4 linked regions of the Macaca mulatta genome follow. The protein of the gene in region 1 interacts with the protein of each later gene in a pairwise test. Links are inferred from orthologs where the notes say so. Each region holds a gene or a part of one and is shown in the gene's direction. Other genes may lie near its edges.

Region 1 (7,517 bases):
TAAATTTGCATGGAACATTTGAAAAAATATAAGCACCAGAATGAATTGAATCTGTGTGAATTGTCACTTTTTGTCACCTACCTGCATAGTTTAGACAGTCAAAGTCTTTCTTTTGAGACAAAATTGGATCTCATTTGTCTCTTCACTTACTTGCTGTCTTGTTACTGAGTTTCTCATGATTAGCAAGATGTAAATTCTCTGCCATTGGTCATTTAGTCCTACATGTTAGTAAGATAATTCTGTGAATTTTTTGAAAATTAGCTGAATTATTTTTCTTATAATTTTGATTCTTCGTAGTTTTTATTTCCATACTTGTGAATTTGGGACCAAAAGGAATAGCTATGACTTACGTTTCTTTGGATCCAGTAGTTTATTCTACTGAAATTATGGTGTTCTCATCATCAGTTAGTAGAAGTACAGACTCTTTAGTGTTGAATATAGAGATAATGTCATCTAACTTCTTACTTGATCACATAATTCCTTCCTCAGTTTTGGTAGCTCTCTTGTAACAGCTGAAATAGGACATTAATCTGTGTACTTTAAGTTCACAGAGTAAAAGGAATATAAGATTTTGAGTGATGCAACTTAAAATACTCCATCTTGTAATGTGGAACTAAGGAGGAGGTTTAGTGACAAGTTTTAGATTTAAGATTATATACTTTGGAGCCTCTTTTTCTTTTTTATTTTCCTTTTTTTTTTTTTTTTTGAGACAAAGTCTAGCTCTTGCCCAGGCTGGAGTGCAGTGGTAGAATTTCGGCTTATGGCAGCCTTGACTTTCAGGCTCAAGTGATCCTCTCACCTCAGCCTCCCAAGTAGCTGGGACTACAGTGCATGCCACCACACCTGGCTAATTTAAAAAAAAATAACACTTTGTAGAGAGTAGCCTCACTAGGTTGCCCAAGCTGGTGTTGACCTCCTGGGCTCAAGTAGTCTGCGTGCCTCAGCCTCCCACAGTTATGGGATTGATTACAGTCATGATCTACCTCACTCAGGCTGCAGCCACTTTCTTTCAGTAGCTTTGGATATTCCACTTACAAATTTATTTTTAAGTCTCCCATGTGGTTGATAATTGGGAAAAATAGTTTTTATTCCAGATAGATATTCTGTGTTAACTGTAAGTCAAATGTTTACAAACTGTTAAAAATGAAATAGTGATTATGTAAAGGAAAACTGGATTTTCCTAATGCTAATTTTTAAAATGATAGAATCCTAAAACTCTTAGCTGTAAACCTGGTGATTTTTCAGCTGTTGTACTAAACAACTTAAGCACATATACCATCAGACGAGCCCCCCTCCCCCCTTTTAAACCAAAGGAGTGTATACTCTGTTAATGCAGTCAGTAAGCATTGACATTCTTTATCATATCCTAGAAAATATTTATTAGCTATTTCACTAGTCAGGGGTTGTTGGTAAATAGTGCATCTCCATTTTCTACTTCTCATCTTCGCACACAGGTTAATCACTTCAGTGCTTGACTAACTTTTGCCTTGATGATCTGTTGGGCTTTGTACATGACAGCTATACTAATCACTGTGCTTATTGTTTGACTGTTTGGTACAGGAAGCGAGCAGCTGCAAAGCATCTAATAGAACGCTACTACCACCAGTTAACTGAGGGCTGTGGAAATGAAGCCTGCACGAATGAGTTTTGTGCTTCCTGTCCAACTTTTCTTCGTATGGATAATAATGCAGCAGCTATTAAAGCCCTCGAGCTTTATAAGATTAATGCAAAACTCTGTGATCCTCATCCCTCCAAGAAAGGAGCAAGCTCAGCTTACCTTGAGAACTCGAAAGGTGCCCCCAACAACTCCTGCTCTGAGATAAAAATGAACAAGAAAGGCACTAGAATTGATTTTAAAGGTAAGATGTTTTATTTTTAATTGAGAATTGTTGGCTGAAAACCATGTGGGAGATTTAAATGTATGAGTTTTTATTTGTTTTTTCTTATGTGACATTAAGACATTTTGATACTGTAGAACCAATTTTTTGTTTTGGTAAAGGACAGGAATAATAACTACATTTTACAGGTTTAATCGTTGCTAATTAGAAGCAGATCATATGCCAAAAGTTCATTTGTTAATAGATGGATTTGAACTTTTTAAAATTCTTAGGAAAAAAAGTATTAATTGATAGTTAATCTCCAAAACTAGGCCACAACATCTATTTAAGTTATAGAATAACTGGACTCAGTATCTGGCATGAGTTCTGGAACCTCAGGATGATGTGATGAAAGAAGTAGGAAGAGGAAGCAGTGGGTTTTTTTCCATTTTAGAAGGCAAGACAAAATTTTGTGATAGTTATGTGAGAATTCTACATTTCCTTCAAATATATGCTTCTCACTCTCCTCACAAACATTTGGTACAGTCATGCTGCCAAGGGTGGTGACCTACCAATGACAATCTTCACTCAGGTCTTTTGTTTTTTAAATGGTCCTGTGTCCAAAATTCAGGATTCGATTACCTTGTCGCTAATACTAAAACTCCAAGTTATTTTCCTCAGTGAATGTAATTAGTAACACGGTAATCAAATTTTTGAATGACTGCCAGGGCTTAGCGCCCCTGCACCCCCACCCCCATACACACGCAGAGGCAATTGTATTTTAAGAGAGAAAGCTTTTTGTTTATGACGTGTAAGTGACAGAATTTTAGAGGCATTTGCCTCTAAAACTTTCAGTAACATCATCTGAATCAAGTTTGAAAGAATTAATGAAGTGGCATTGTGTTATAACCTCTACTGTTTCCACAATAGAATTATTTTCGTCACTTTACACAACTTTGTTGCTTCAGAGTGTATAGTTCTGTTTCATGAATTAGCTCACACACTGTGGAAAAATAGGTAAATGTCTATATATATAGTGTGTCAGTATAATGTGGAAGCTGCATTGACTCTATTGTACACAGTTCTCCAGTAAGTGTGCACCACAGAGTACCAGTAACTGAACGCAGAGTGCTGGCACAGTGGAATGCAGCCAGCTGGGGGGGGTGTGATACATGAGGAATGTACTCATCTGCTCTTTTGGCCACATGCTCCATCTTAGAGATGCTTATTGTGTGGCTTTATCCGGTCTTTATGCCCCCACCTCTTTTTGCTGAAGTCTGCATTAGTTAGCAGTTTTGACCTTTCCTTTTTCCTACTTTCTAATCTGCTACTGGTACTATTCCCTGTTCTTTACTGTTTTGTTTTTGTTTTTGTTTTTGCAGTGTTTTACAGTTACTATCATATATTAGAAATTAGAAATGCTGTCTCTGCACTAGTACTCTTATTTTGATTATTAATTATGTTTATTAACACTAATCACAAAGTTGCGTAACTATTAAGTAGTCTGCACCAAACTCTTGTTGTGTAAAAGGTTTTTAAGTGCAGAATTTAAAAGATTGAGTATTTTCAGGGACACATTTATCACAAGAAATCTTACAAAAAATGTCTTATTTAATATATTCTCAGTAGAACACCTCTATCAGTAAACCAAACTTTATGAATGTTCATATCTAATTACAGTGTTTTTTGACTAATTTTTATCTATATATCTGAAAAATTCAGTTTAACATATTAAACACTACAGGCCAGGCATGGTGGCTCATGCCTGTAATCCCAGCACTTTGGGAGGCCAAGGCGGGCGAATCACGAGGTCAAGAGATCGAGACCAGCCCAGTCAACATGGTGAAACCCCATGTCTACTAAAAATACAAAAAAATTAGCCGGCTGTGGTGGTGTGCACCTGTAGTCCTAGCTTCTCGGGAGGCTGAGGTAGGAGAATCGCTTGAATCCAGGAGGCAGAGGTTGCAGTGAGCCGAGATCGTGCCACTCCAGTCTAGCCTGGCGACAGAGCGAGACTCCATCTCAAACAACAACAGCAACCACAACAAAAAACACTACATGGAAAAAGTATAGGTACATTCTATATAGGATTAGTAGACTGTCAGAATCACTTGAAGATGTTCCGAAAGCATGACATATCAACAAAGGACATGTGAGTCTAGAATCGTGATCCCTAGGACAGGCCATATTACTGCATGCAAAGCAAGTCTTTGTTAAGCTTATGACTTGCTCAGGAAGCAAAGTGTTTTATGTCTTAATTTTCTGTTACATTTTGGGAAATTAGATAGGGGTTTTGCATTGTCTTGGAAGAAGGTATTATAAAAATTTTCAATGAAAATAATGAGAAATAGACTTCCAGTGGTTTTACGCTTTTGGGGAAAAGGTTACTGATGTTTAGCAAAAGATGCTTATATATTCTTAATAGAACAAACCTGAGAATTAGTTCTTAAAGAGTTAAGGCCCATAAAAGAAACTGCAAGTGTTGACACTCTTGTAGCTTGGCCACAGATCAGATCCTTAGTATGATAAAATTTGGTATTTTTGTGGTTCAATTTTTGGAGACCATTCAGTGATCACTTACATTTTATATTGTCTTTCATTGTGAAACAGATATATTATAGCAGAGGTGGGAGTCATTAAAAATTCTACATGTTGTATAGTACATGTATAAAGGTATGTTTGGCACAATGGAGGTAGGATTGTGTGCCTCTAAAATTAACCCCTTAAGTAGTTAATCTGATGATGATAAGTATGTCACTTTATTGATGAAAGGGAGAATTAAGACTATTCTCAGTATTATGTTGGTCAGTACACAAAATATATCATTTGTTTTTACCTGTAAAATAAAATATCTTTCATCCTGTTAGCCAGAAGGGGGAAAGCATTGGCCTGAAAATAACACTTATCTCAAAAAGTTGGGAAATGTGGTCCAACTCTGTGCCCAGGAAAAGAGGAAACAGATTTTGATGACTACATAGTCTCTGCACTGCTTGCCAGCTCATAAGTTGCCTTCTTCGCACTGTTTTCATTGCTCAAAAATTATTTTCTGTCACTCTATGAGACTTAGTCTAACCTGATTGCTGGCTGCAGAAAGCAGTTTCTGCTCAAGAGCTGATGAGAAATGGTATATTCTTCTCAATCACTCACAGAATGACTACCCTGGAACAAACTAGGAAGACCCAAAATGAACCAGTTTTCTTTTAATACATACATAGATGCTGAAGGAACCTTTCTTTTAAGACTTTGCCTTCTCAGTCTTTTGAGAACGGAGTACTGAAACAAGAAAACTCTCAGAAGATTAGTAGTATTTCTGTTCTACAGTGAGGTTTTAAGAGCTGTATTATGATTAATCAGTATATGACATATTGGTTCATATTTATAAATAAAGCTATACATTAATAGATATCTTGATTATAAAGAAAGTTTAAACTCTCCTGATCTCATTAAGAGTTATGCATTGTTGAAAGAATGTAAAAGCATGGGTGAGGTCATTGGTGTAGGTAGTTCATTGAAAAAAATAGGTAAGCATTGAATTTTGTTTGCTGAATCTAAGTATTAGATACTTTTAGAGTTGTATATCATAAATGATGTTGAGACTACAATGTTTGGCTGTTTTACTTTTATTAGAACTTTTTGCAACAGGGTAAACATGCATATTATGAAAATAAATGTTCTCTTTTTTCCTCTGATTTTCTAGATGTGACTTACTTAACAGAAGAGAAGGTATATGAAATTCTTGAATTATGTAGAGAAAGAGAGGATTATTCCCCTTTAATTCGTGTTATTGGAAGAGTTTTTTCTAGTGCTGAGGCATTGGTACAGAGCTTCCGGAAAGTTAAACAACATACCAAGGAAGAACTGAAATCTCTTCAAGCAAAAGATGAAGACAAGGATGAAGATGAAAAGGAAAAAGCTGCATGTTCTGCTGCTGCTATGGAAGAAGACTCAGAAGCATCTTCCTCAAGGATAGGTGATAGCTCACAGGGAGACAACAATTTGCAAAAAGTAGGCCCTGATGATGTGTCTGTGGATATTGATGCCATTAGAAGGGTCTACACCAGATTGCTGTCTAATGAAAAAATTGAAACTGCCTTTCTCAATGCACTTGTATATTTGTCACCTAACGTGGAATGTGACTTGACGTATCACAATGTATACTCTCGAGATCCTAATTATCTGAATTTGTTCATTATCGTAATGGAGAATAGAAATCTCCACAGTCCTGAATATCTGGAAATGGCTTTGCCATTATTTTGCAAAGCAATGAGCAAGCTACCCCTTGCAGCCCAAGGAAAACTGATCAGACTGTGGTCTAAATACAATGCAGACCAGATTCGGAGAATGATGGAGACATTTCAGCAACTTATTACTTACAAAGTCATAAGCAATGAATTTAACAGTCGAAATCTAGTGAACGATGATGATGCCATTGTTGCTGCTTCGAAGTGCTTGAAAATGGTTTACTATGCAAATGTAGTGGGAGGGGAAGTGGACACAAATCACAATGAAGAAGATGATGAAGAGCCCATCCCTGAATCCAGTGAGCTGACACTTCAGGAGCTTTTGGGAGAAGAAAGAAGAAACAAGAAAGGTCCTCGAGTGGACCCCCTGGAAACTGAACTTGGTGTTAAAACCCTGGATTGTCGAAAACCACTTATCCCTTTTGAAGAGTTTATTAATGAACCACTGAATGAGGTTCTAGAAATGGATAAAGATTATACTTTTTTCAAAGTAGAAACAGAGAACAAATTCTCTTTTATGACATGTCCCTTTATATTAAATGCTGTCACAAAGAATTTGGGATTATATTATGACAATAGAATTCGCATGTACAGTGAACGAAGAATCACTGTTCTCTACAGCTTAGTTCAAGGACAGCAGTTGAATCCATATTTGAGACTCAAAGTTAGACGTGACCATATCATAGATGATGCACTTGTCCGGGTAAGTTGGGCTGCTAGATTAAAAACCTAGTAATGGGGATATCATGATACAGTTCAGTGAATTCATTTTAAAAGTGACTGAAAAAAATGATACCATATAGCATAGGAACACATGGACATTTCTGATCTTAGATATAAGTATTACACTTTGTTGTTCCTGTCCAAGTTTATAGATGTTTTCTACAAAGTATCGGTTGTATTATATAATGCTCACTCTATCTTTGAAAAAGAGTGGGTTTTCTAAATCTTGAATACTAGATCCAAAGTTTCTTTCATTCAGAAGAGAATAGAGTGTTGGGCAAAGACCAGAACAAGAGAAATGGGGAGATACCCAGTAATAAGTGTGGATGTGAAGTCTTGAACTGGGAGAAATGGTACAGTAAAACTATACCATAAAATTTTAGGTAGTGTCCAAAAAATTCCATCATGTAAAATTCAGAGTTGTTTTATTGTGAACTTGATGAAGTGACCATGGCAGACCAGCGCCTGTTGCCAGTAAGAGTTGAGTCCTGCTGGGCCACTTAGAATATCCCTGTATGGACGGCACTGCCTGGCTGTGGTAGTTTCTTCCCACTTAAAAATTCATAGAGACAACTCTGGGTCTTGGAACTTCTGGAAAACAGCAGCTATTCCAAAAATTTGGGGATTCGTGGTGGTGCCTGTAACATCAAGTGCAGGGAGATCGAGCAGGGAAATACTGGAAACTCAGGTACTCGTCTTAACTTCCTGGTTTTCCAGATGGGGTTGCCATTTGTTG
Region 2 (8,155 bases), on another chromosome or scaffold:
CATTAGCCAATATTTTTACAATGCATTTCTTTTTTACTAAAAAAAAAAAAAAAAAAAAAAAAGTCCCTTTCATCTGTGACTAAATTTTATTCACACAATACTAGTTTGTATATTTTTCTTGGTGTGCTTTCTTTGTTTCAGCTAATTAATGCTGTGCTTTTCACTAATGAGGATATGTATATTCGACTACTAAAATGTTAATTTTATTTCATTGTAACTTAAAACATTAACAGTAACATATTTTGAAGTAAAATGTCAAAAAAATCACATAATTTTTAAGGTAAAGAAAGAGAATGCGAAGAAATGTGTTTGTGGAAAGTTTCCTTAAGAGGGTGAGTATGGTTTTGCCCCTCTGATGTGTATTTTGGTGAGGGAATGGCCAGGCAAGACAATCACCAATTAATAAAGATTTGTGTATTTGACTTGATTCTTCAAATATCTTCTTAGATTTACTTAACAAATTTTATTTTTTCTGTTTGTTAATTCATTAATATTTGCTTTTATCATTCTATAGCTGTCACCCCGTTTCTCTCCTTTTATTTTCCGTTGTCTTCTTTATTCAAATGCCTACTTCACTTATTTTCAATCTTTTGTTTGATATTTTAAATCTTTGAATGTATAAATTTGACTCTGAGTTCATCCACATAGTACTTAATAAATGAAATAATATTAAACTGGAGCTTGACACAAATGCAGCTTCCAGTGCACTGCTTATTTCAGTAGGTTTGGCATGGGGCCTAGAAACATGCATTCTTAACAATGTTCTCAGATCACACGTAGAAAATTCCTAGCATTATTGTTGCTGTATATGCTCCCATTATCATTATTTTGGTAAATTTATTCTAATAAGAACATTGCACTTTGTCCCAAAATTATTCAGTTTTGTTTTAATAATCAAATGATTGGTTTTTTGTTCATACTTTGATTATTAATATCTAGCTTTATTCTATTGAAATTAAATATTACCTATAATATTTTCATATTCTCACCACCCATGATTAACTGTTGCTGATATTTTACCATACTTGCCTTCATTTTAAAGATAAAAAGCATTTTTACATATTTAAGTTCCCTTTAATCACTAGCCTATATCCTGTTCCATTTCTTCTTCCTCATGTGTGCAAGTTTGGTATATTTCTAAAAGAATATTTCAAATATACATAAGAATGTATTAGAATGCTGTTTGGCATGTATTAGGTTGGTGCAAAAGTAATTGTGGTTTTAGCCATTACTTTCAATGGCAAAAACCATTGTATAATAGTAACAATTCATTACTTTCAATGGCAAAAACCGCAATTACTTTTGCACCACCCTAACACTAATTAATTTAGCTTTTTAGATCTATACATATTAACATATTTAAAGCTAGTCATTCTTTTACCTCTGTATTTTATTAATTATATTAAACATACTATATTATTCCATTTCTCCATCAATGGATATAACATACCTGTATATATATATTTTTCTTATCTTGAGATTTATTAAAGTATTTGTGACCTAATGAGTTTGAAATGCTGTTAAATGTTCAAATCAGTGGTTCTTTGGTGGCTGCTTGGTAGAGGGTGGGGGTAGGGGAATAATTTTTTGTGTGGTTTAACCTAGAGTTAGAAATATATAGATAAATTTGAAATTATTTCTTCTATTTTTCAAGTTCTCTTTCTGAGCATTGCTACATCTTTATTGCTCTTATTTAATCTGTAATGAAATTAGGTAAATATGTCAATGTTTGCCACTACTATTATGTGCCTGTCAATTTCTACCCATACTCTTCCCCAAAATACCTTTCTGTAGTGCATACTTACAAAAATCATCAGAAAATTCAAAATCTTATGAAAGTAGAAAATAAGAATTATTCATAATTTCAGCAAACAGTACTAACAGCCATTAACTTATTTGTGTATAGCCTTTCAGATTTTTTTACACATACGGTTTACATATACAACTAACTGTTCAAAAATTGCTTTTAAAATAAAAATATATTGTATTTTTGATATTGGAACATACATTCTTATATAGTTTTTAACTGTACAGAAATATACAAAGGCAAAATTGAAAATAATCTGTGATTTCCCTATAACTACAGTTTAGTTCATGTATACCTTTAAAGACACTCTATATTTTCTTGTATGGTAATATTATGTGCTCGACTAATCTTATGTAAACAGATATTTAATATATTTAAATAACGTTTTAAATGCTACAATGTATATACATTTTATACATAAATAGTTTTGCATCCTCATACGATTATTAGGCGAATTGTCTAGGTTAGGCATTTCTAAATAAAGGTGTAAACATTCAAAATGCTGATATATATTTTCAAATTGCCCTATGGTTGTAACAATTCACACTTCAACTAGCCTGAGAGTGCATTTTTTAGGGTCCCTGTCAACAACAAGGTTTATCATTATTTTTTTTCCCTGCCAATATGATAAGCCAAAAGTAGAATTTTATTGTTTTAACTTGAATTTTTTTTTATTGCTAGTGAAATTAATCATCTTTTTTAAAATGTCTATTGGCCATTTGCACTCCTTTTGTAAAATGCATGCTCCTGCTCTGTCTTCTTCCCTTCCCCCATTGGGGGTGTTCCTCTTTCTTTTTGCTTTGTCAGAGTTCTTTATTATTCATTTTTCGTCTTATATGTGGGATCGGTTCGATTCAGGCTTTCACCCTTTTACTGCCTTACAGATTGCTAATATACATTCTCCATTGGTCTTTTAATGTGGTTTACAGAAGCTGACTCTCTACCGCCTCCTTCTCTCCGTCCCACCCTCTGCCTCGCCTGCTCTGTACTGTTCTCTTCTCTTCTCTCTCTCTCCCTTTGTTTCGCTCTCTCCCTTTTTTTCTTTTCAGTGCAGAAGTTTTTAATTTTGACCGAGCCAAATCTATCAATCTAGGCCTGGCGCCGCGTCAGCAGAGGGGGCGGGGAGGCGAGCGCCGAACTGGGGGAGGGGAAGGGGCGGGGAGCAGCAGGCGGAGCGGCTGCCAGAGTTGCTGGGAGTGCGCGCGGTCGGATCACAAGGCGGCGGAGGAGGAGGCCCAGAGACCGGAGCGCGGAGACCTCAGCTCGCGGCCTACGCCCAGGCCTTTCTCCACCGGAGGACCAGGGAACCGCAGTCTTCATCAGAGAGGTACCGTGCTCCGCGCTCCCCGCCCGACCCGGCCCAGCCCGCTGCGGCGGCGCCTCCTTCCTTCCTCCTTCCCTCGCTCTCTCTCTTTCGCCCGCCCGCGCCTTCCCTGCCCGCCTGCGTCACCGCGGCCGCCATGGCTGAGAATGGCGAGAGCAGCGGCCCCCCGCGCCCCTCCCGCGGCCCTGCTGCGGCCCAAGGCTCGGCTGCTGCCCAGGCTGAGCCTAAAATCATCAAAGTCACTGTGAAGACTCCCAAAGAGAAAGAGGAGTTCGCGGTGCCCGAGAACAGCTCGGTTCAGCAGTTTAAGGAAGCGATTTCGAAACGCTTCAAATCCCAAACCGATCAGCTCGTGCTGATTTTTGCCGGAAAAATCTTAAAAGATCAAGATACCTTGATCCAGCATGGCATCCATGATGGGCTCACTGTTCACCTTGTCATCAAAAGCCAGAACCGACCTCAGGGCCAGTCCACGCAGCCTAGCAATGCCGCGGGAACTAACGCTACCTCGGCGTCGACTCCCAGGAGTAACTCCACACCTATTTCCACAAATAGCAACCCGTTTGGGTTGGGGAGCCTGGGAGGACTTGCAGGCCTTAGCAGCCTGGGCTTGAGCTCTACCAACTTCTCTGAGCTCCAGAGCCAGATGCAGCAGCAGCTCATGGCCAGCCCTGAGATGATGATCCAGATCATGGAAAATCCCTTTGTTCAGAGCATGCTTTCGAATCCCGATCTGATGAGGCAGCTCATTATGGCTAATCCACAGATGCAGCAATTGATTCAGAGAAACCCAGAAATCAGTCACCTGCTCAACAACCCAGATATAATGAGGCAGACACTCGAAATTGCCAGGAATCCAGCCATGATGCAAGAGATGATGAGAAATCAAGACCTGGCTCTTAGCAATCTAGAAAGCATCCCAGGTGGCTATAATGCTTTACGGCGCATGTACACTGACATTCAAGAGCCGATGCTGAATGCCGCACAAGAGCAGTTTGGGGGTAATCCATTTGCCTCCGTGGGGAGTAGTTCCTCCTCTGGGGAAGGTACGCAGCCTTCCCGCACAGAAAATCGCGATCCACTACCCAATCCATGGGCACCACCGCCAGCTACCCAGAGTTCTGCAACTACCAGCACGACCACGAGCACTGGTAGTGGTTCTGGCAATAGTTCCAGCAATGCTACTGGGAACACCGTTGCTGCCGCTAATTATGTCGCCAGCATCTTTAGTACCCCAGGCATGCAGAGCCTGCTGCAACAGATAACTGAAAACCCCCAGCTGATTCAGAATATGCTGTCGGCGCCCTACATGAGAAGCATGATGCAGTCGCTGAGCCAGAATCCAGATTTGGCTGCACAGATGATGCTGAATAGCCCGCTGTTTACTGCAAATCCTCAGCTGCAGGAGCAGATGCGGCCACAGCTCCCAGCCTTCCTGCAGCAGATGCAGAATCCAGACACACTGTCAGCCATGTCAAACCCAAGAGCAATGCAGGCTTTAATGCAGATCCAGCAGGGGCTACAGACATTAGCCACTGAAGCACCTGGCCTGATTCCAAGCTTCACTCCAGGTGTGGGGGTGGGGGTGCTGGGAACCGCTATAGGCCCTGTAGGCCCAGTCACCCCCCTAGGCCCCATAGGCCCTATAGTCCCTTTTACCCCCATAGGCCCCATTGGGCCCATAGGACCCACTGGCCCTGCAGGCCCCCCTGGCTCCACCGGCTCTGGTGGCCCCACTGGGCCTACTGTGTCCAGCGCTGCACCCAGTGAAACCACGAGTCCTACATCAGAATCTGGACCCAACCAGCAGTTCATTCAGCAAATGGTGCAGGCTCTGGCTGGAGCAAATGCTCCACAGCTGCCGAATCCAGAAGTCAGATTTCAGCAACAACTGGAACAGCTCAACGCAATGGGGTTCTTAAACCGTGAAGCAAACTTGCAGGCCCTAATAGCAACAGGAGGCGACATCAATGCAGCCATTGAAAGGCTGCTGGGCTCCCAGCCATCGTAATCACATTTCTGTACCTGGAAAAAAAATGTATCTTATTTTTGATAATGGCTCTTAAATCTTTAAACACACACACAAAATCGTTCTTTACTTTCATTTTGATTCTTTTAAATCTGTCTAGTTATCAGTCTAATATGATGCATTTTAAGATGGAGTCCCTCTCTCCTACTTCCCTCACTCCCTTTCTCCTTTGCTTATTTTTCTTTCCTTCCCTTCGTCTTGTCTCCCCCCTTCCTCCCTCTTTGTTTCCTTCCTTCCTTATTTCCTTTAGTTTCCTTCCTTACCCGATTTGAATGGTGGGAATCAATGCTGTTTCACTCAAAAGTGTTGCATGCAAACACTTCTCTTTATTCTGCATTTATTGTGATTTTTGGAAACAAGTATCAACCTTCACAGTTGGGTGAACAAGTGTTGTCCTACAGATGTCCAATTTATTTGCATTTTTAAACATTAGCCTATGATAGTAATTTAATGTAGAATGAAGATATTAAAAACAGAGGCAAATTATTTGAAGCTCTCTAATTTGTGGTACGATATTGCTTATTGTGACTTTGGCATGTATTTTTGCTAGCAAAATGCTGTAAGATTTATACCATTCATTGATCTTTTTTGCTATATTTGTATACAGTACAGTAAGCACAGTTGGCACTGTACATCTAAAAATATTACAGTAGAATCTGAGTGTAATATGTGTAACCAAAATGAGAAAGAATACAAGAAATGTTTCTGGAGCTAGGTATGTGTCTCACAGTTTTGTAGAATCTTACAGCATCTTTGATAAACTTCTCAGTGAAAATGTTGGCTAGGCAAGTTCAGTTAAAATATAGTAGAAATGTTTATCCTGGTATCTCTAAGTATACATTTAATTGTACAGAAAATTTACAGTGTAACATTGTGTCAACATTTGCAGATTGACTGTATATGACCTTAATCTTTGTGCAGCCCGAAGGATCAGTGTAGTAATGCCAGGAAAGTGCTTTTTACCTAAGACTTCCTTTTCAACTTCTCCCATAAAGAGACCCTAATATGCATTTTGATTTGTAATTGGAAATGTAACTTTCACTGAAAGTGTCATGTGATGTTTGCATTACTTTTAACTGCTATGTATAAAGGAAAGTGTATCTTTTGACTTCATCAGTTATTTCTCTTGTGCACAGAGAAAAATGCATTAAAAATGACTAAAAAAAAATAAAAAATTAAAAAATGGATAAATCTTTTTCTTTTTGCCTTTTGGCCCTAGGATCGTGTTTAGGAGGGTTATCCCACCCCAAGATTATATAAATCTTATCCTGTATTTCTCTAACTTATATGGTTTCATTAAGAAAATGTTTTGTCCTGTCTGGAATTATCTTGATATATGGATTTAGGTATTCTAACTTTTTTGCCCCAAAGGTTAGCCAGTTGTTAACATATTTATCTTTTCCCCCAACATATGAAATGTCATACATGTATATACTTTATTCTGTGTTTGGATTCCCTTTAGTTCCATTGAACATTGTGGCACCAGTACACCAGCCTGTAGATGAGTTAGAAATGGGACTTTGTATCTGTTAATGTGAGACCTCCTCTTGATCTTTTTTATTTTTTACAATTTTCTGATGATTCTGACATGTTTATTTTACCAGATGAATTTTACGGTTAATGGATTCTTCCCCAAAAAATATATTTAATTTGGTTGGGATTCTCTTAAATTTATATGACTATGAGGACTACAGAATTGCATTGCTTTCCAGAAACATATGTTGCCTTGTTTCTAAAAAACTTTATATATCCTTCATGAGAGTTTTATTTAAATCCTATATAATTTGTAATAAATATGTTCCTAGGTATTACAGACATACAGGGAACACGTTGATACTGCTTATTGGAGCTTTTAATATGTTACCTATGTGGTCATTTTTGCTATATCGGAGAAGAATTTATTTGCATAGATTATTTTAAATTGGCAATTTATTGAAATCTATTAATTTTAGAGATATTCATTTGATCCTTTTGAGTTTTTCCAGGTGAGAAATCCTATCCATGATGTTATAATTATATGTTTTACTTTTCAAAATTTATAACATAGTTTCTGACTGCATGGGTTAAACATTTTCATAACAGTGCTAAATAATAAAGGTGGCAGTGGCATTTTTGTCTTGTTTCTCATTTTAGCCAGAATGTGTTTGCTACAGCAATTCCAAATTGTGTTTTGTGAAAAAAAATATTCTTCTGGGACACAGGTAAATACGTTTGCAAAATGCTGTATACTTTAATCTCTCTTGGAGACTCATTGTGCAATAAATGTTGGCTAGTATTTTTTTTTTAATGAGTAGCTTCTTCAATTAAAAAAAAAACTATTTAACTTTGTGTAACTCAGCATTTTCCGAACTTATTTAAGCACAGAACCACCTTTTTTTTGTTTTCTTTTAAACACACCTAATAACATTTGGCCTGTCGGTGTTCCTCAGAACACCAACTTAGGAAATGGTGATTTATTATTTCATTACCATATCATGCCAAGTATTTGACATAATCACAAAGTCTGTCATAATGAATTCAGTAATTTTAATGACAGATGATTTTATATGGAAGTGAATACTAAAATTGTAGGCATAGAAAATAACAAGAAATCAATCATCAATGCATAGTAGAAACTGGATATTGGCTGAGGCCTGGCTCAGACAGTTTAGCAGATCAGTTTCTTTCAAACACTCAAGGAACAGAGAATTATTTAATTAGCTTTGCCAAATGTTTATTTTTAAGTGTATTTTGTTTTCTCTTGGAAAAGATCTAGGTCTTTAATTTATTAAGTCTACCATTATTTTGCTTCTGAGTTTATTAATTTTTGCTTATAACTTCATTTATTTCGCCCTTTTAAAAATTCTTCCTCCATCTCTTAAATGATGTAATTTCCTCCTATTATGTTGCAGGATCTTTTTAAAGGCTCTGTTTTTGTTTTGGGTTTTCTTCATCTACTATTGATCCAAGATTTATCCATTTATTCATCATTGAATCAAGAAGGGTATATCCTAAC
Region 3 (8,118 bases), on another chromosome or scaffold:
GCGCGATCTCGGCTCACTGCAACCTCTACTTCCTGGGTTCAAGCAGTTCTCTGCCTCAGCCTCCCGAGTAGCTGGGACTACAGGCGCCCCCCGCCACGCCCGGCTAATTTCTGTATTTGTAGTAGAGATGGGGTTTCACCACATTGGCCAGGCTGGTCTGGAACTCCCGACCTCAAGAGATCCACCCACCTTGGCCTCCCAAAGTGCTGGGATTACAGGCATGAGCCACCATGCTCATTTTCTTTTTTTTGAGACGGAGTCTCGTTCTGTCGCCCAGGCTGGAGTGCAGTGGCGCGATCTCGGCTCACTGCAAGTTCCGCCTCCCGGGTTCACGCCATTCTCCTGCCTCAGCCTCCCGAGTAGCTGGGACTACAGGCGCCCGCCACCGCGTCCGGCTAATTTTTTTTGTATTTTTAGTAGAGACGGGGTTTCACCGTGTTAGCCAGGATAGTCTCGATCTCCTGACCTCATGATCCGCCCACCTTGGCCTCTCAAAGTGCTGGGATTACAGAAGTGAGTCACCGCGCCCAGCTGAGTGTTCGTTTTCAAATGAGGTAATACATACGATTACAGATACACTGCAACACACCAGCGTTGAGCATTTTTGTTAAACTTGTAAATATCTTGTGAATAGTGTATTTGTACGTATGTTAAAATAATTACTTGAGTTTCTCTCCACTCTGTTTGGCATTTTTAAATCTTTTCATGCCGGGCGCGGTGGCTCATGCCTGTAATCCTAGCACTTTGGGAGGCCGAGGTGGGCGAATTACCTGAGCTCAGGAGTTTGAGACCAGCCTGGGCAACATGGTGAAATCCCATCTCTACTAAAATACAAAAACAAAAACAAAAAAAAAATTAGCCGGGCGTGGCGGTGTGCGCCTGTAGTCCCAGCTACTCAGGAGGCTGAGGCAGGAGAATTGCTTGAACCCGGGAGGCAGAGGTTGCAGTGATCCGAGATGTGCCACTGCACTCCCGCTTAATGACAGAGAGAGACTCCGTCCCTCTCCAAAAAAAAAAAAAAGAAAAGAAAAGAAAAAAAAGAAAAGAAAAGAAAAAAGAAAGAAAAAAAAAAAGAAAAAGAAACATTTTTTCAATAAGTTGGTGGCAGGAAATCCCAGCTACTCAGGAGGCGAATGCAGGCCGATTGCTGAGACCAGGTGTTCAAGGTCAGCCTGCACAACATAGCAAGACCTCGTTTCAAAAAAAGAAAAGGAAGAAAAAATATTTTTAATATGCAAGAAGCCTCGAAAAATGGAAGTGGTCCCCGTTTCTCTTAATGTCTTGGAGGCCAAAAAAAGTACTGGTTGGTGAAATACACATATAGATATCATCAGTACCCAGACGTTAATTAACGCCAAGGGAGTGTAAAGGGTCGCCCAAGAGAGCGACTTTATGGGAAATGAAAGCTCTGGAACCAGAACATTTAAAAGACTCACTGAAGAAGAGGCGCCTACAAAGGATGCTAACCAGGAATGGCCAAAGAGACGGCGGAAAAACCAAGCGAAACGGTCAGGGAAAGATGGGAGAAAGAACATAAGGAGAACTCAAGCCAATAGTGCATTTTAAGAAGGGTATTAAGGCCGGGCTCTGTGGCTCACGGCCGTAATCCCAGCGCTTTGGGAGGTCGAGGCAGGCGGATCACCTGGGGTCAGGAGTTCAAGAGCAGTTGGTCAACATGGCGAAAACCCTGTCTCTACAAAAACACAAAAATTAGCTGGGCACGGTAGCGGGCGCCTGTAATCCCAGCTATTCGGGAGGCCGAGGCAGGAGAATCCCTTGAACCCGGGCGGGGGAGGTTTCAGTGACCAGAGATCGCGCCACTGCTCTCGAACCTGAGCCACTGGGTGAGACTTCATCGGAAAAAAAGAAAAAAAAAAAAAAAGATTAACCATAGTGTCATATATTTCTTTCTCTTTTTCTTTTTTTCTTTTTTTTTTTTTGAGACGGAGTCACACTCTGTTGCCCAGGCTGGAGTGCAGTGGCACGATCTCGGCTCACTGCAACCTCCTCCTCCCGGGTTCAAGCGATTCTCCTGAGTCGGCCACCTGAGTAGCTGGGATTACAGGCGTGCACCACCACGCCCGGCTACTTTTTGTATTTTCAGGAGAGACGGGGTTTCTCCAAGTTGGCCAGGCTGGTCTCGAACTGCTGACCTCAGGTGATCCACCCGCCTCGGCCTCCCAAAGTGCTGGGATTACAGGCGTGAGCCACCGCACCCGGCCACTGTCAAATATTTCGCTGATTTTCCTCGGTCAGCACCACCACAATAATTGTGCCACCTTACCCAGGCAAGGTTTGGACATCTCTTTGACCCTTTTACAGGGTTTTATACTGTGGTTTCCAGTATTTCCTCCAACTAGACAGTAGAAGCGGGAGATGTGAATCTTCCCCTTTTTCCTCTTCCATAGAGTCTTACTCCGATCGTTCAATTAGTATCAGTGGAATGATTTAAAAAACATTTGAAAAACCACTCGGACAAAACCCTCAGATTCGAACTTGTTCCAGTAGCCAAAAATACCCGCGGCCACGGCTACACTGCGCAGGCGCAAAGGCAGATGGGCTTTCTCCAGCCGGGCTTTGCATTTGGCGCGAAATCCCTTTCCGTGGGCGGGGGCTCTTGGAGAAGCGCCGTTCATTGGTCAGGTTTGGCGCGAAATCTCCGGCTCCTGTGTCACGATTGGTCCCGGCCGTGCCGATCGGAAGAGGGGGCGGGGCGGAAGCGGCGGCGGCGCGCGCAAAGCTGCAGCGTCTGGAAAGAAGCGACTTGTGGCGGTCGAGCGTGGCGTAGGCGAATCCTCGGCGCTGGGCAAATATGGACCTCGCGGCGGCAGCGGAGCCGGGCGCCGGCAGCCAGCACCTGGAGGTCCGCGATGAGGTGGCCGAGAAGTGCCAGAAACTGTTCCTGGACTTCTTGGAGGAGTAAGTCGATGAGCGCCCGGGGCCACGCCCGCCTCCGGAGCCCGCGGTGTCTGGGCCAGGAGGTGCCGTGTGGCCGGCGGGTGTTCCGGAACCTGGGGGTCGCGCGTCCGGGAAGTGTTGCCCCGCCCGCCCCCCAACTTTAGGCTGCGAGCCCAGCGGCCGCGAGGAGCCTAGAACAGGCTGGGTTTTTCTGGACGAAAACCCATATCGAGCCCTAAGACGCTCGTGCCCAGTGCTTTGCTTCTGTCACTTGATGCTCACCACCCCGCGAGCCTGGTATTTGCACAGTTCCCGGTGACCGGCGCGGAAACCTGGGCTCGCTGAGTATAGTAACTGGGCCGCTGGGTGCGGCCGGGTTGAGGGGGAGGCCGAAGTGCCATTGAATCCCGGCGGAGCCCTGCTGGGCCACACAGCCGGTAGCCTGGTGCTGGGGGTGGGCAGGGCCCGGGCCACCCTCGCCGCCTGTGCTGATGAAAGTTTCTGCGTGAACTGTGGTTTGAAAGCTACTGGGGTGCGGAGCCGTGCCCTGTAGAGTAACTACCATTTCCCTTCTTCTGGGTCCCTTGCTCCCCTTTCCCTCTGGCCTTCCTTTCCTTTCTCCACTACCCCTCTTTTTTTCTGTGCCTCTGGGCTCCTGGCCTCATAGCCCCGCCTCCTCCCTGGCTTGCCTTACCTACCCACCGGTTATTTTTCCTAGAGTAGATACACCACGGCCTCCAGGATGAAGGGTCAACAGTTTGGAATGGCTTGTGAAAAAAGCTTATGAAGTTCTTTTTATTGTCGTAAAATATACATCACAAAGTTGACCATTGTAGGCATTTTAAGTGTACAGTCCAGTGACATTAAGTTCGTTCACCTCGTTATGCAGCCGTCACCACCCTCCATCTCCAAACTCTTTTTTTTTTTTTTTTTTTTTTTTGAGACGGAATTATTAGCCCTTGTTCCCAGGCTGGAGTGCAGTGTCACCATCTCAGCTCACCGCAACCTCCGCCTCCCGGATTCAAGCGATTCTCCTGCCTCAGCCTCAAGAGTAGCTGGGATTACAGGCATGCGCCACCACGCCCGGCTCATTTTGTATTTTAGTAGCGATGGGGTTTCCCCATGTTGATCAGGCTGCTCTTGAACTCCCGACCTCAGGGGATCCGCCCGGTTGGGCCTCCCAAAGTGCTGGGATTACAGGCGTGAGCCACCGCACCCGGCTCCAAACTTCTTTCATCTTCCAAACTGACACTCTGTGCCCATTAAATACGAACTCTCTTCCTCTCTTCCGTTACCCTCTCCCTCAACCACCGTCACCCACCACTCTGCTTCCTTTCATTATGAGTTTGACCACTATAGGTACCTCATATAAGTGGAATCATAATAGTATTTGTCGTTTTGTGTTTGGCTTGTGTAGCATAATGTCTACAAGGTTCCCCTGCGAGGTACCATGTGTCAGAATTTCCTTACTTTTTAAGGCTAAATAACATTGCCTCTACAGATTGAGTATCCCTTTTCTGAAATGCTTGGGACCAGAAGAGTTTGGGATCTTGGATTTTTTTTTTCAGATTTGGAGTATTTACATTATACTTAACCAGTTGCATCCCTAATTTGAAATGCTCCAGTGAAAATCATGTCAGCACTCAAAAAGTTTCAGATTTTGGACCATTTCATGTTTTACATTTTCAGATGAGGCTGCTCAACCTGCATATGTACTGCATTTTGCTTGTCCATTCAGTGGACGCAGGTTCATTCCACCTTTTGGCTATTGTGAATAATGTTTCCATCTTATGAAATTTTGGTATACTTAAAACCATAATTTAATTTCCATTTTGCTACCTATGGCAATGTTATTGTCTGCCTGATAGTTCCTCCTTCAAAGCCCAGCTAAAAACTCACCTTTGTGATACCTTGTACACCTTTTTGAGAGGCACTAATCCTTTCTTCCTTAGGCTCCCAGGGTGCCATTTGTTTTTCATTGTCTCTGGCAGTGTAACACCTTTACCTCTCAGCCACTTAGTGTGGAATTCAGATTCCATCCTCAACCCCACCTACCCACCATATCACATTACAAAGGTTCTTCAATAAATGTTTCATTTCAACAAATAATCTAAGTGCCTTGACTTTGCAGCTAGATGATAATGATGAGACAAATAATCTCTATACTTTGTTTAAAGAAGTGCCAACTCCCTGTCACAAAATAAACTTTAATTCACCATTGCTTGTGGAATAAAGTTCAAATTCTTCACCACTCCTTTTTCCTGTTTGTCTTCCAAAACCACCCCAGTCATCATCCACACTTCTCCCCTACCTTCTCTGACTTAATCATATACTTGCAAACATCTGTAGTCAGTCACTCCACCACCTGTTTTTATTCGAAATTTTTAACTCTTTCAGAAGCTGAATTCCAGTACCACCTTTTATATGTATGACTCTTGTACATGTTCTGTTAGGCAGATTTAGTTTCTATTATCCTAGCACATTTCTTGTTCTCATTAACAGGAACATATTTCATGTCTGTCTTCGTTGTTTACATATATCTAACTCCCTAGACACAAAGTGGTAGTTAACCCTAGGGCAGGAACAACACTGCCATTTTCAGCCTCAGATGCCTCTGTCATAGGGCTTTGCACGTAGTTGGTTAACAAATATTTTAAGTCAGAACATGCTGTATTTGAGTTGTCAGAACATGCTGTATTTGGAGGAGAAATTGATTTTTTCTTAAAGCAAATCTGCATATTATGTTTAAAAGAACAGAAAATAAATTTGTATGATATCCTGCTTGGGCTTTAGAAGCAAAAATACCAACTTTTAGTGTGCATGTTTCAATTTTCCTGAAGTCTTGGACAGTGAAACACCTCATTTCCGTGTATTCTTCTATTCTGCTTCTTAAATCCCTGACTAATCTGTCAGCTTGCAAATTACCTACAGAAATGGAATCATTGGGTTCTCGACTGAATTTCTTGATTTAACATTTTCCAATCTTAATTATACATGACAATAATAAGAGTTAGTAGTTGTTTTGTTGTTTTTTTGTTGTTAGCAGTTAAGCCTCACAGTCATGGTGGAAGGCAAGGAGGAGCAAGTCACTGATGTCTTAAGTGGATGGCATCAGGCAAAGAGAGCTTGTGCAGAGGAACTCCTTTTTAAAACCATGAGATCTCGTGATACTTACTATCAGAGAACAGCAGGGGAAAGACTTGTCCCCATGATTCAATTACCTCCCACCAGGTCCCTCCCACAACATGTGGAAATTCAAGATGAGATTTGGGTGGGGACACAGCCAAACCATATCAGAAGGGACAAGTAACTTGCCCCAAGTTACCGAACTGCCAAACATGGGCCCATCTGAGCCTACTTGTTGGACTTTAACCAGTATTCTGAATTATCAATCATTCAGGTTCTTTGTACTGCCTGTGTCCTTAATCTAGTTGACTCGCATGTACCTGCAGGTTTCAGAGCAGCGATGGAGAAGTTAAATACCTGCAATTAGCAGAGGAACTGATTCGTCCTGAGAGAAACACATTGGTTGTGAGTTTTGTGGACCTGGAACAATTTAACCAGCAACTTTCTACCACCATTCAAGAGGAGTTCTATAGGTATGGACATATTAATCTTCTTTACTTTGAATAGGGGTTGAAATCTGGGAAGCCAGCTCTTCCTGGACTGTAAGTGTTCACTTGTGTAGCAGAAGGGCAGCAGTTATTTCCCTCTGAGAAGAGGCGCTTTGATACTGCCAGTGGTCATTTTAGTACTGCTCTGAACTTCATGTAGGCCTTTGTAGAGCCGACCTTTTTTTTTTTTTTTTTTTTTTTTTTTTTTGAAACGGAGTCTTGTTCTCTCATGCCCAGGCTGGAGTGCAGTGGCGCGATCTTGCTCACCGTAACCTCTGCCTCCCTGGTTCTAGCAATTCTTCTGCCTCAGCCTCCCTAATGGCTGGGATTATAGGCGCCCGCCATCACGCCCGGCTAATTTTTTACATTTTTTAGTAGAGATGGGGTGTCACCATGTTGGTCAGGCTGGTCTCGAACTCCTGACCTCAGGTGATCCACCCGCCTTGGCCTCCCAAAGTGCTGGGATTACGGGCGTGAGCCACCGTGCCCAGCCAGAGCTGAAATTTTTTTTCAAATACAAATGTTGAAAATCTTTGCTTTCTGTATAGTTTTCCCAAGAGGAAAACTGTACTTTTGTGTCATTCCACTGATCCTTTTTCCCCACAGGAATAGGTGTTTGTGTGCGTCCTGTTCTTGTACTGGGGATATCTTTACAGCATTGATGTTGTTGTACTTCTTGTTCCCTTAAAGTTTAATTTTGTTTCTGCTTATAAAAGTAGTAGGTATATATTGTAGAAAATAGAGAAAAGTAAGGATAATTAAATTGCTTATACACTTGTAATCTACCACCATCATTAGCAGGTCTGCTACAAGAGTTCCAGGAGCCTTCTAAGTCTACAAGTACAGAGTTTTGTAAGGATCTTCTGTCACATTTTGATGTCTTTCTGTGTGTACTGTGTATGAAACTACTCAAATTCACATAAAATTTCTTAAAATCATACTAATAGCTCCAATTGTGGTTTTTTGGTAGAAATACTATGGTTAGACATTATATTTAATATAAGGCTTTTATTGTATTTTGAATTGTTATACACAGCAAGAAACATCTTTGCACACAAGACTTTGTATTAGGATTACATGAATGTGACAATCAGAAATAGAATCAAGTTAAAATAAATTGTGGACAGTTGTGAAAGATAAATGAAAATTCAGGGATAAGGAGGTACAATCTTGTTCATTTCTTGGTAGATTGGGAGATGGAGGATTTGTCTGTGTTTCTAGTCATAGCTGATGATCAAGATTAATTGGAGGGGTAAGTAAGCAACAGGGTTTATTGTGAAAGCATGCAGCAGAAGTTATTGCACTGACAAATGAGGGAGAGGTAGAAAATCAAGCCTGCTGGTAGAAGCAGCTGTGCCATGCCTCATGCACAAACCAGGCAGCAGTTCTCTTTCCCGAGAGTAGCACCTTTTTTAGAGGACTTTCAGACCCCACTTTTTAAACAAAGTAAGCTGTAGTAGCTATTAGAAACTTATATAAAAAGGACATGCATACTTCACTCTCACCAGTCAAATGGAGCATTTTTGCCAATTTGTTCTCACATTAGTACACAAATACTTCTCCTGTCCTCATCCATTTCTTATCAAACCAGCCAGATATGGTGGCT
Region 4 (7,517 bases), on another chromosome or scaffold:
GTGCAGCCCTGGCTGGGAGGCAGTGTTGCGCTCTACCCCAGGGGCAGGCCTCATTGACCAAGGATGAATGCCAGGGGTCCAGGAGTCTGCAGTGGCATAGGCACTGGGAGGGCTGCCTTTCCTGCGGTTGCCTTCATTTGGCCTGTGGTAAGGAATTGGGGAGCTCTCTTTGTAGAGGGGCACTGTTGGGTCTGCCTGTTTTTGGCAGAGTGGGAAGAGGGTAGTGACTTTCTCTATTTCCTTTCCCCACAAATAACTCTTCCCAGGTAGAATTTATGCCAGGTGAAGGTGTGCAAACATGTTCTTTGCAGGCCCATCCAACCAAGTGGCCTGTGGTTGCTTCTCTTCCAGATTTTTCTAGGCCAGCCCAGACCTTGACCTCACCAGCTGCCATACCATAAACCCTGGTGCCCTGGGAGGCAGGGCCTGGGTGGGGGCAGTCTCGTTATAGAAGATGAGTCCCTGGCCAGGAGCATGGCTCATGCTCGTAATCCCAGCACACTGGGAGGCCGAGGCAGGTGGATCACTTGAGGTCAGGAGTTTGAGACCAGCCTGGCCAACATGAGGAAACCCTGTTTCTACTAAAAACACAAAAATTAGCTGGGCATGGTGGCACGCACCTGTAATCTCAGCTACTCAGGGGTGCTGAGGCAGGAGGATAGCTTGAACCCGGGAGGCAGAGGTTGCAGTGAGCCAAGATTGTGTCACTGAACTCCAGCCTGGGGGACAGACAAGATTCCATCTCAAAAAAACCCCAAAAAACAAAAAAACAAAAAAAGCACAGGAGATGAGTCCCTGGCGGTTCTGGGTTTTGGCTTGAAGAAGTTGTTACATGGTTAGTGGAGTTATATTTCTTTTTTTTTTTTTTTTTTTTTTTTGAGACGGAGTCTCGCTCTGTCGCCCAGGCTGGAGTGCAGTGGCCGGATCTCAGCTCACTACAAGCTCCACCTCCCAGGTTTACGCCATTCTCCTGCCTCAGCCTCTAGAGTAGCTGGGACTACAGGCGCCCGCCACCTCACCCGGCTAGTTTTTTGTATTTTTAGTAGAGACAGGGTTTCACCGTGTTAGCCAGGATGGTCTCGATCTCCTGACCTCGTGATCCACCCAGCTCGGCCTCCCAAAGTGCTGGGATTACAGGCTTGAGCCACTGCGCCCGGCCTAGTGCAGTTGTATTTCTAGAGCACCCTTGAGTGCAGTATCTCCCTTCAGAGATTTCCAGGTACATGTTTTCAGCAGCCCTTTTGGTGAACTGAGAGACATTTTTCAGAGATTTTTTTGTTGAAGTTGTTGTGGACACTATGGACTGAGGCAGTGAGAGGACAGGGTTCCCTCAGCACTGCCACCCCCCATGCCTGAGTGAGGTAAAAGGCGTGTCAGGCAAAGGTTTTCTGTAATAGGTCAGGCTTGTTCTATGTTGATACAGTGACCTTGTTACATGGCAGCTCCATGGTTACATTGCAGCTGCCAGCACTCTGAATAAGAATGCAAATATCAAATGTCAGTGTCCCTTTCTCTTCCTTTCCAGGTGTTTAGGACAGACCTGATCACTGCCATGAAGTTGCATGACTCCTACCAGCTGAATCCGGATGAGTACTATGTGTTGGCAGATCCCTGGAGACAGGAATGGGAAAAAGGGGTCCAGGTGCCCGTGAGCCCAGGGACCATCCCTCAGCCTGTGGCCAGGTAGAGATGCCCTGAGGGCAGACGCCTCTCCACCCACCCTCGCTCTTCTTCCCTGACAGCAGGCATCTGAGAAGAGACAATTTCTGAGTTAGCAATAAAATATCATGAGGCCTCAAGTGGAAATAGAAATGTAGGAGCAGCACACTTCAGGCATACAGGGTAGTGGTTTTGAGGGCCATGAGCCTCCATACTTAACATTACAGCCACCACTGTGGGGAGGTGCTGCTGTCTTATGAGAGGAAGGCAAATTCCAAGACATCCTGGGAAGTGATGGGCTGGGGGAGGAAAATTTGGGTGTTCACATGTCTTCATCCTCTTTTCCTGCCCTCCATGTTCACTCTGGAGAGTGACTCTCCTGGAGAGAAGTGTGTAGTTGCCTCCGCCTTTGGAGGAGGACAGGTGTGAGGAGACCAGACCTGCCAGTTAGGGTTTGTGGAGAGGGGAGTTTTGGAGGGATTTATTTTGACTGGTCACATTGTTCTCAGGGTGCGTTCTCTGAATTTACTGACTTTAAAGATCCCTCAGGGCTGAGTCCCTGCCGACTCTCCTCACAATCAGGTTGCAGCTGTTTACTCATTTCCTCACTGCCCTGCTTCGTGCCACCTGGAGAGTCCTCTTAGGAGGGAGGATTGAGTGCCCTCTGTGCTCAGCTGGCACCTGGCTTCTCGGCCATCATCAGTTGGCTGCTGCTTTGCGAAACAGTGTCTTTCTCCACGCTGAGTCATGACTGAACTTGCTTCCTGGCCGTCACCCACTTTGTGTCTCTTGTTTTGGGCACTTAAGATGATCAAATTTGAGTTGTCATTTTGGGATCTCTGGGGCGTCTATCCAGTGGTGACATATGCCCCTGTCTTACTCAGGCTTAGGTGACCAATCAGAAGTGCCAGGATGGCCCCCACAGGCTAGAATCGGGACCTGTGGAATGGAGCGGTCACGGGGCTCTGCGGGGCAGACCAGGTATCTGCCTCAGAGCCTGTGTCTGAGATGTAGCACCACCTGATTCAGCACTGGCAGCCCCAGCCTAGGAGTCACTTGCTGAATGCTTCACTTTCAGTGGGGAACCAGGACAGAAGTGAGCATTAATACAGCTTGTGGAAGTTTTCAGTTGGATCCCTGCTCTTGGTTGAGTAGGAGAAATAAATCCCTTCAGTTTGTCCATCTCAGCGTCATGTAGATAAAATCACTCCCATAATATAAGGGTGATGAAGGTACTCTGACAGACTCTGGGCAGCCTGTTGACAGTAATTTAAACTGCAGAAATGCAGATGTGGAAGGACTTTGTTGAGGCCTGGGGCCTGTGATTAGGAAGATGGCCTTTTCTGGTCCAAGTTGGGAGTGATTTGATCTTCTTGCGCATGCTGTCTTATTTTGAGTGGGGTGAGTTGGAAAGCACCACTCCAGGTGTTAAAGGTTGGGGGAGAGTGTGTGGCAGTATCAGGAGGAGAAGAAACTTGTGCTTTTGTTTCTGGGATCATAGGTATATGTTGGGAGAGTCAGTCTGCCTCTTGGCTGGGACTCTTGATTCTTAGATTTGTTGATAATGGCCGAGGTCTAATTCCTTTTTTTTTTGTTTGTTTTTGAGACAGTCTCACTCTGTTGCCCGGGCTGGAGTGCAATGTTGCAATCTTGGCTCACTGCAACCTCTGCCTCCTGGGTTCGAGCGATTCTCCTGCCCCAGCCTCCCAAGTAGCTGGGATTACAGGCGTGCGCTACCATACCAGGCTAATTTCTGTATTTTTAGTAGAGATGGGGTTTCACTGTGTTGCCAGGCTGGTCTGAAACTCCTGACCTCAAATGATCCACCTGCCTCAGCCTCCCGAAGTGCTGAGATTACAGGCTTGGGCCACCGTGCCCAGCCCAAGGCCTAATCTTCTTTTCCCTCTCTCCGGCTTTTTTTTGTGAGGTGTCAGCGTTGGCGGGTATCTCCCTCTGGTTCTCAGAGTCTGCTGTGCCTGCCCTGCCTGTGTGGTGCCCTGGTTCTAATGGCCTCCAGCAGAGATGGGCAGGTCTGGTTAAGGGAAAGTGATTAACTCTTGAAATGTAAGGGTCAGTGTGTTTTGGTGTTGGCTGCAGGCCAGAGTGGTCAGAGGTGGTGGGCAGGGCACAGCAGTGTCCTGGGAAGCAGATTTGAAGGCTTCTACAGTGTTTTCATTCATATCTATTTCCTGTTCACAGGCTTTACCAACTTCTAGTTAAGGTTTTATTAGCAGTGACATTCAGGTTTTCAGCCTCTAGTGATGACCTGTGGCTCTGAGGGTTGGAAGAGGAAGCGACACCTGGGGCCTTGTGGCATACTTCATTGTCTGTGACTGAAAGGGTAACCTAGCTGCCTTGTTTTTTGTTATGCAGGGTTGTGTCTGAAGAGAAATCCCTCATGTTCATCAGGCCCAAGAAGTACATCGTGTCATCAGGCTCAGAGCCTCCCGAGTTGGGCTATGTGGACATCCGGACGCTGGCTGACAGTGTGTGTCGCTATGACCTCAATGACATGGATGCTGCATGGCTGGAACTGACCAATGAAGAATTTAAGGAAATGGGTGAGAGACCATGTATTATATTATTTTATTAACCAATAATGAATAGAAACGTATTTTAGGCAGGTAGGTGAGTAGCAAAAAGCTCCTTATTGCCAGTTGAAGGCATCTCCATCATAGCTTCAGTTAGTCAGAATGACAGCCCTGCCTTAGAGCTCAGCCTGTTTGGCTGTGTCAGATGTGCTGAGATGGATTCAGAGTGGAAGCAGGGCTCCTCGGCTTAGGCACCAGGGATTCCCATGTCCGCTCTGATCTAACTCCCTCATTCACTTACCTTAAGGAAGCTGAAGTCCAGGACTAAGTGACAAAAGGGCATACTCCAGTTACTTGCTCTAGTGTTTTTTTTTCTGCGACACCATTCAGATTCCTTCTTCAGCTGTGGATTGCTGCTTCTCTAAATGAACACTTTTCCAGGCATGCTCCCCATTTCCAAGCACATCACACGTGTTTTAACTTGAGTGATTTTCCTTATGTCATGCTGCAAACCTGGAGTTCTTTTTCCCTCCTGTTTGTCTATGTCCTGGCTTTCCTTTAGTGAAGCCTCACATTAGCTGAGTGCCCAGCCCTTTTCAGCTTCTTTTCTGCAAGCTCATTTTAGTGTATGTAGAGGTTGGAGCTTCTGCATGTCATGTACTTGCATCTCACGGTGTTGAGACTGGGATGGTGCGTAGGTCTCATTTCACATGCCAGTCCTGATTGCTAAGGGTTGCCTTGAGCGTCTTGATGAACAAGACAATGGAGTCAAGTCTGGGATCAGTGTGAAAAACTATGAGGATTAATTAGCTTTTGTACTGTAGGTACACGGTGGGGAAGTGGTGGCAAGGGCTGTGTATTGTAATCTAGGACATAGTAAATAATCACAAGATCAGCTGGGCTCATTGCCTCATGCCTGTAATCCCAGCACTTTGGGAGGCCGAGGTGGGCAGATCACCTGAGGTCAGGAGTTCAAGACCAGCCTGGCAAACATGGTGAAACCCCGTCTCTACTAAAAATACAAGAATTAGCTGGGTGTGGTGGTCCCAGCCATTCAGGAGGCTGAGGCAGCAGAATCACTTGAGCCCGGGGAGGTGGAGCTTGCATTGAGCTGAGATCGTGCCACTGCACTCCAGCCTGGGCAACAGAGCCAGACTCCCTCTCAAAAAAAAAAAAAAAAAAAAAAATTCACAAGATCTTTGGTCATGGTGAATTTCACAGCCTTGAAAGGGCCAAGATCTTTTCTTTTGTGTCTTTCCAGGGAACCTAGCATAGAGTGTGGCTTGCAGTAGATGCTTGTCCTGCCATTAGGCTCACCATCCTGTTGAATGGGAGTGACAGTGTAGACTGAGCTGAGCATCGTGTTATTTTCTACTTACTCAGTTACTCAGGTGTTTTTTTTTTTTTTTTGAGACGGAGTCTCGCTCTGTTGCCCAGGCTGGAGTGCAGTGGCCGGATCTTAGCTCACTGCAAGCTCCGCCTCCTGGGTTTATGCCATTCTCCTGCCTCAGCCTCTAGAGTAGCTGGGACTACAGGCACCCGCCACCTCTCCTGGCTAGTTTTTTGTATTTTTTAGTAGAGACGGGGTTTCACCGTGTTAGCCAGGATGGTCTCGATCTCCTGACCTCGTGATCCACCCGTCTCAGCCTCCCAAAGTGCTGGGATTACAGGCTTGAGCCACCGTGCCCGGCCTACTCAGGTGTTTTTATAGACAAAATAGATTTCCTCCTTCTTGGTCCTGCTTTAGGTATTAATGGCCAAAACATTAGCAGGCCACAAGGTGGTTTTATGGCATGTGTTCAGGAGTTCTCAGAGATCTTTTGGAACTGGATACTAAATTTTAGCTTCAAAGATACACAGTTTCTGCTTTGTTGTAAGCACATTATAAAGACCAGTGTAATGCACTTGACTGGAATCTAGGTGTCCTGTGTGAAGTCAGAGGACTCAGCCCAAAGACTCTTGGCATTTATGAATGGTTTAAATAATAAGAACTGGGCTAATCCATATTTGAAGATACTGTTGAATACATTGGCAGGATTAATTTTGTAATTTTTTTTTTTTTTTTTTTTTTGAGACAGAGTCTTACTCTGTCGCCCAGGCTGGAGTGCAGTGGCGTGATCTCAGCTCACTGGAAGCTCCGCCTCCCAGGTTCACGACATTCTCCTGCCTCAGCCTCCCGAGTACCTGGGATTACAGGTGCCCGCCACCTCGCCTGGCTAATTTATTTTTGTATTTTTAGTAGAGAAGGGGTTTCACCGTGTTAGCCAGGATGGTCTCGAACTCCTGACTTTGTGATCTGCCCGCCTCAGCCTCCCAAAGTGCTGGGATTACAGGGGTGACCCACGACGCCTGGCCTAATTTTGTAATTTTATAACATAAATGGAACACATGCTTAAAGATGTTTGTCTTAGCTGTTACTGATCTTTTTTTTTCTTTGTTTTTTGAGATGAAATCTCACTCTGTGGCCCAGGCTGGAGTGCAGGGGTGCAATCTTGGCTCACTGCAACCTCCACCTCCTGAGTTCAAGTGATTCTCCTGCCCCGGCCTCCCAAGTAGCTGGGATTATTGGCACCTACCACCATGCCTGGCTAATTTTTGTATTTTTAGTAGAGAGGATTTCACCCTATTGGCCAGGCTGGTCTTGAACTCCTGACCTCAAATGATCTACCTGCCTCGGCCTCCGAAAGTACTGGGATTATAGATGTGAGCCACTGTACCTGGTGTTTCAGTCTTTTTTTGCATTTGGTTAACTATGTTTTTCAACTTTGTAGAAGTCAGAGTATGAGGAGGGATACATCATTTAAAAATATTAGAGTATCCAAAGTGTAATCTGTTTTGAGAGAACTTTTTTACCTACCAAGAAAGGCAAATGTTAAAAAACATCCAAACCATATCTGAGGTCATGGTTTTGAAGTCCCTTACGTGTTAGTTGTTATGTGTAATGAGTATAATGAAATGTCGTATTCAACAATGTATGTATTTAATATCCTTGAATCCTTTTAAAATTTACCTTTTGCTTTCCCATTTACTACACTGCATCTTTACTACCTGACCACAAGAACATAACAGTTTCCTGGAAGACTCTCCCCTTTGAAGATTGTTTCTTAGAAGGATCTGATAAGGATTTAATAAAAAATTTTGGGGCCCTCAGGGATGGATGCATCAATGGGTTGATTGATTGATTGAGACAGGGTCTTGTGTCACTCAGGCCAGACCACAGTAGCACAGTCATGGCTCACTATAGCCCCAACCTTCTGGGCTCAAGCAGTTCTTCCACTGCAGGCTCTTGAGTAGTTGGGACTACAGGTGTGTGCCACCACACTTGGC

Evidence for each region.
Region 2: the proteins of UBE3A (region 1) and UBQLN2 interact in a two-hybrid assay, tested with the Homo sapiens proteins (2 studies listed by BioGRID and IntAct). The link is inferred for Macaca mulatta from reciprocal best matches to the Homo sapiens genes UBE3A and UBQLN2.
Region 3: the proteins of UBE3A (region 1) and MCM6 interact in binary tests that used the Homo sapiens proteins (3 or more experiments, as listed by UniProt). The link is inferred for Macaca mulatta from reciprocal best matches to the Homo sapiens genes UBE3A and MCM6.
Region 4: the proteins of UBE3A (region 1) and JADE1 interact in a two-hybrid assay, tested with the Homo sapiens proteins (3 studies listed by BioGRID and IntAct). The link is inferred for Macaca mulatta from reciprocal best matches to the Homo sapiens genes UBE3A and JADE1.

What each region holds. Positions count from the first base shown.
Region 1 is NC_133412.1:4,572,421-4,579,937, forward strand, and holds part of UBE3A (ubiquitin-protein ligase E3A), read left to right. Parts: intron 1-1,560; coding exon 1,561-1,859; intron 1,860-5,514; coding exon 5,515-6,761; intron 6,762-7,517. UniProt on the Homo sapiens protein: E3 ubiquitin-protein ligase which accepts ubiquitin from an E2 ubiquitin-conjugating enzyme in the form of a thioester and transfers it to its substrates.
Region 2 is NC_133426.1:56,537,795-56,545,949, forward strand, and holds UBQLN2 (ubiquilin-2), read left to right. Parts: upstream 1-2,990; 5' UTR 2,991-3,267; coding exon 3,268-4,702; intron 4,703-4,798; coding exon 4,799-5,142; 3' UTR 5,143-6,351; downstream 6,352-8,155. UniProt on the Homo sapiens protein: Plays an important role in the regulation of different protein degradation mechanisms and pathways including ubiquitin-proteasome system (UPS), autophagy and the endoplasmic reticulum-associated protein degradation (ERAD) pathway.
Region 3 is NC_133417.1:27,485,653-27,493,770, reverse strand, and holds the start of MCM6 (DNA replication licensing factor MCM6), read left to right. Parts: upstream 1-2,749; 5' UTR 2,750-2,812; coding exon 2,813-2,919; intron 2,920-6,350; coding exon 6,351-6,497; intron 6,498-8,118. UniProt on the Homo sapiens protein: Acts as a component of the MCM2-7 complex (MCM complex) which is the replicative helicase essential for 'once per cell cycle' DNA replication initiation and elongation in eukaryotic cells.
Region 4 is NC_133410.1:137,602,987-137,610,503, forward strand, and holds part of JADE1 (protein Jade-1), read left to right. Parts: intron 1-1,525; coding exon 1,526-1,683; intron 1,684-4,032; coding exon 4,033-4,220; intron 4,221-7,517.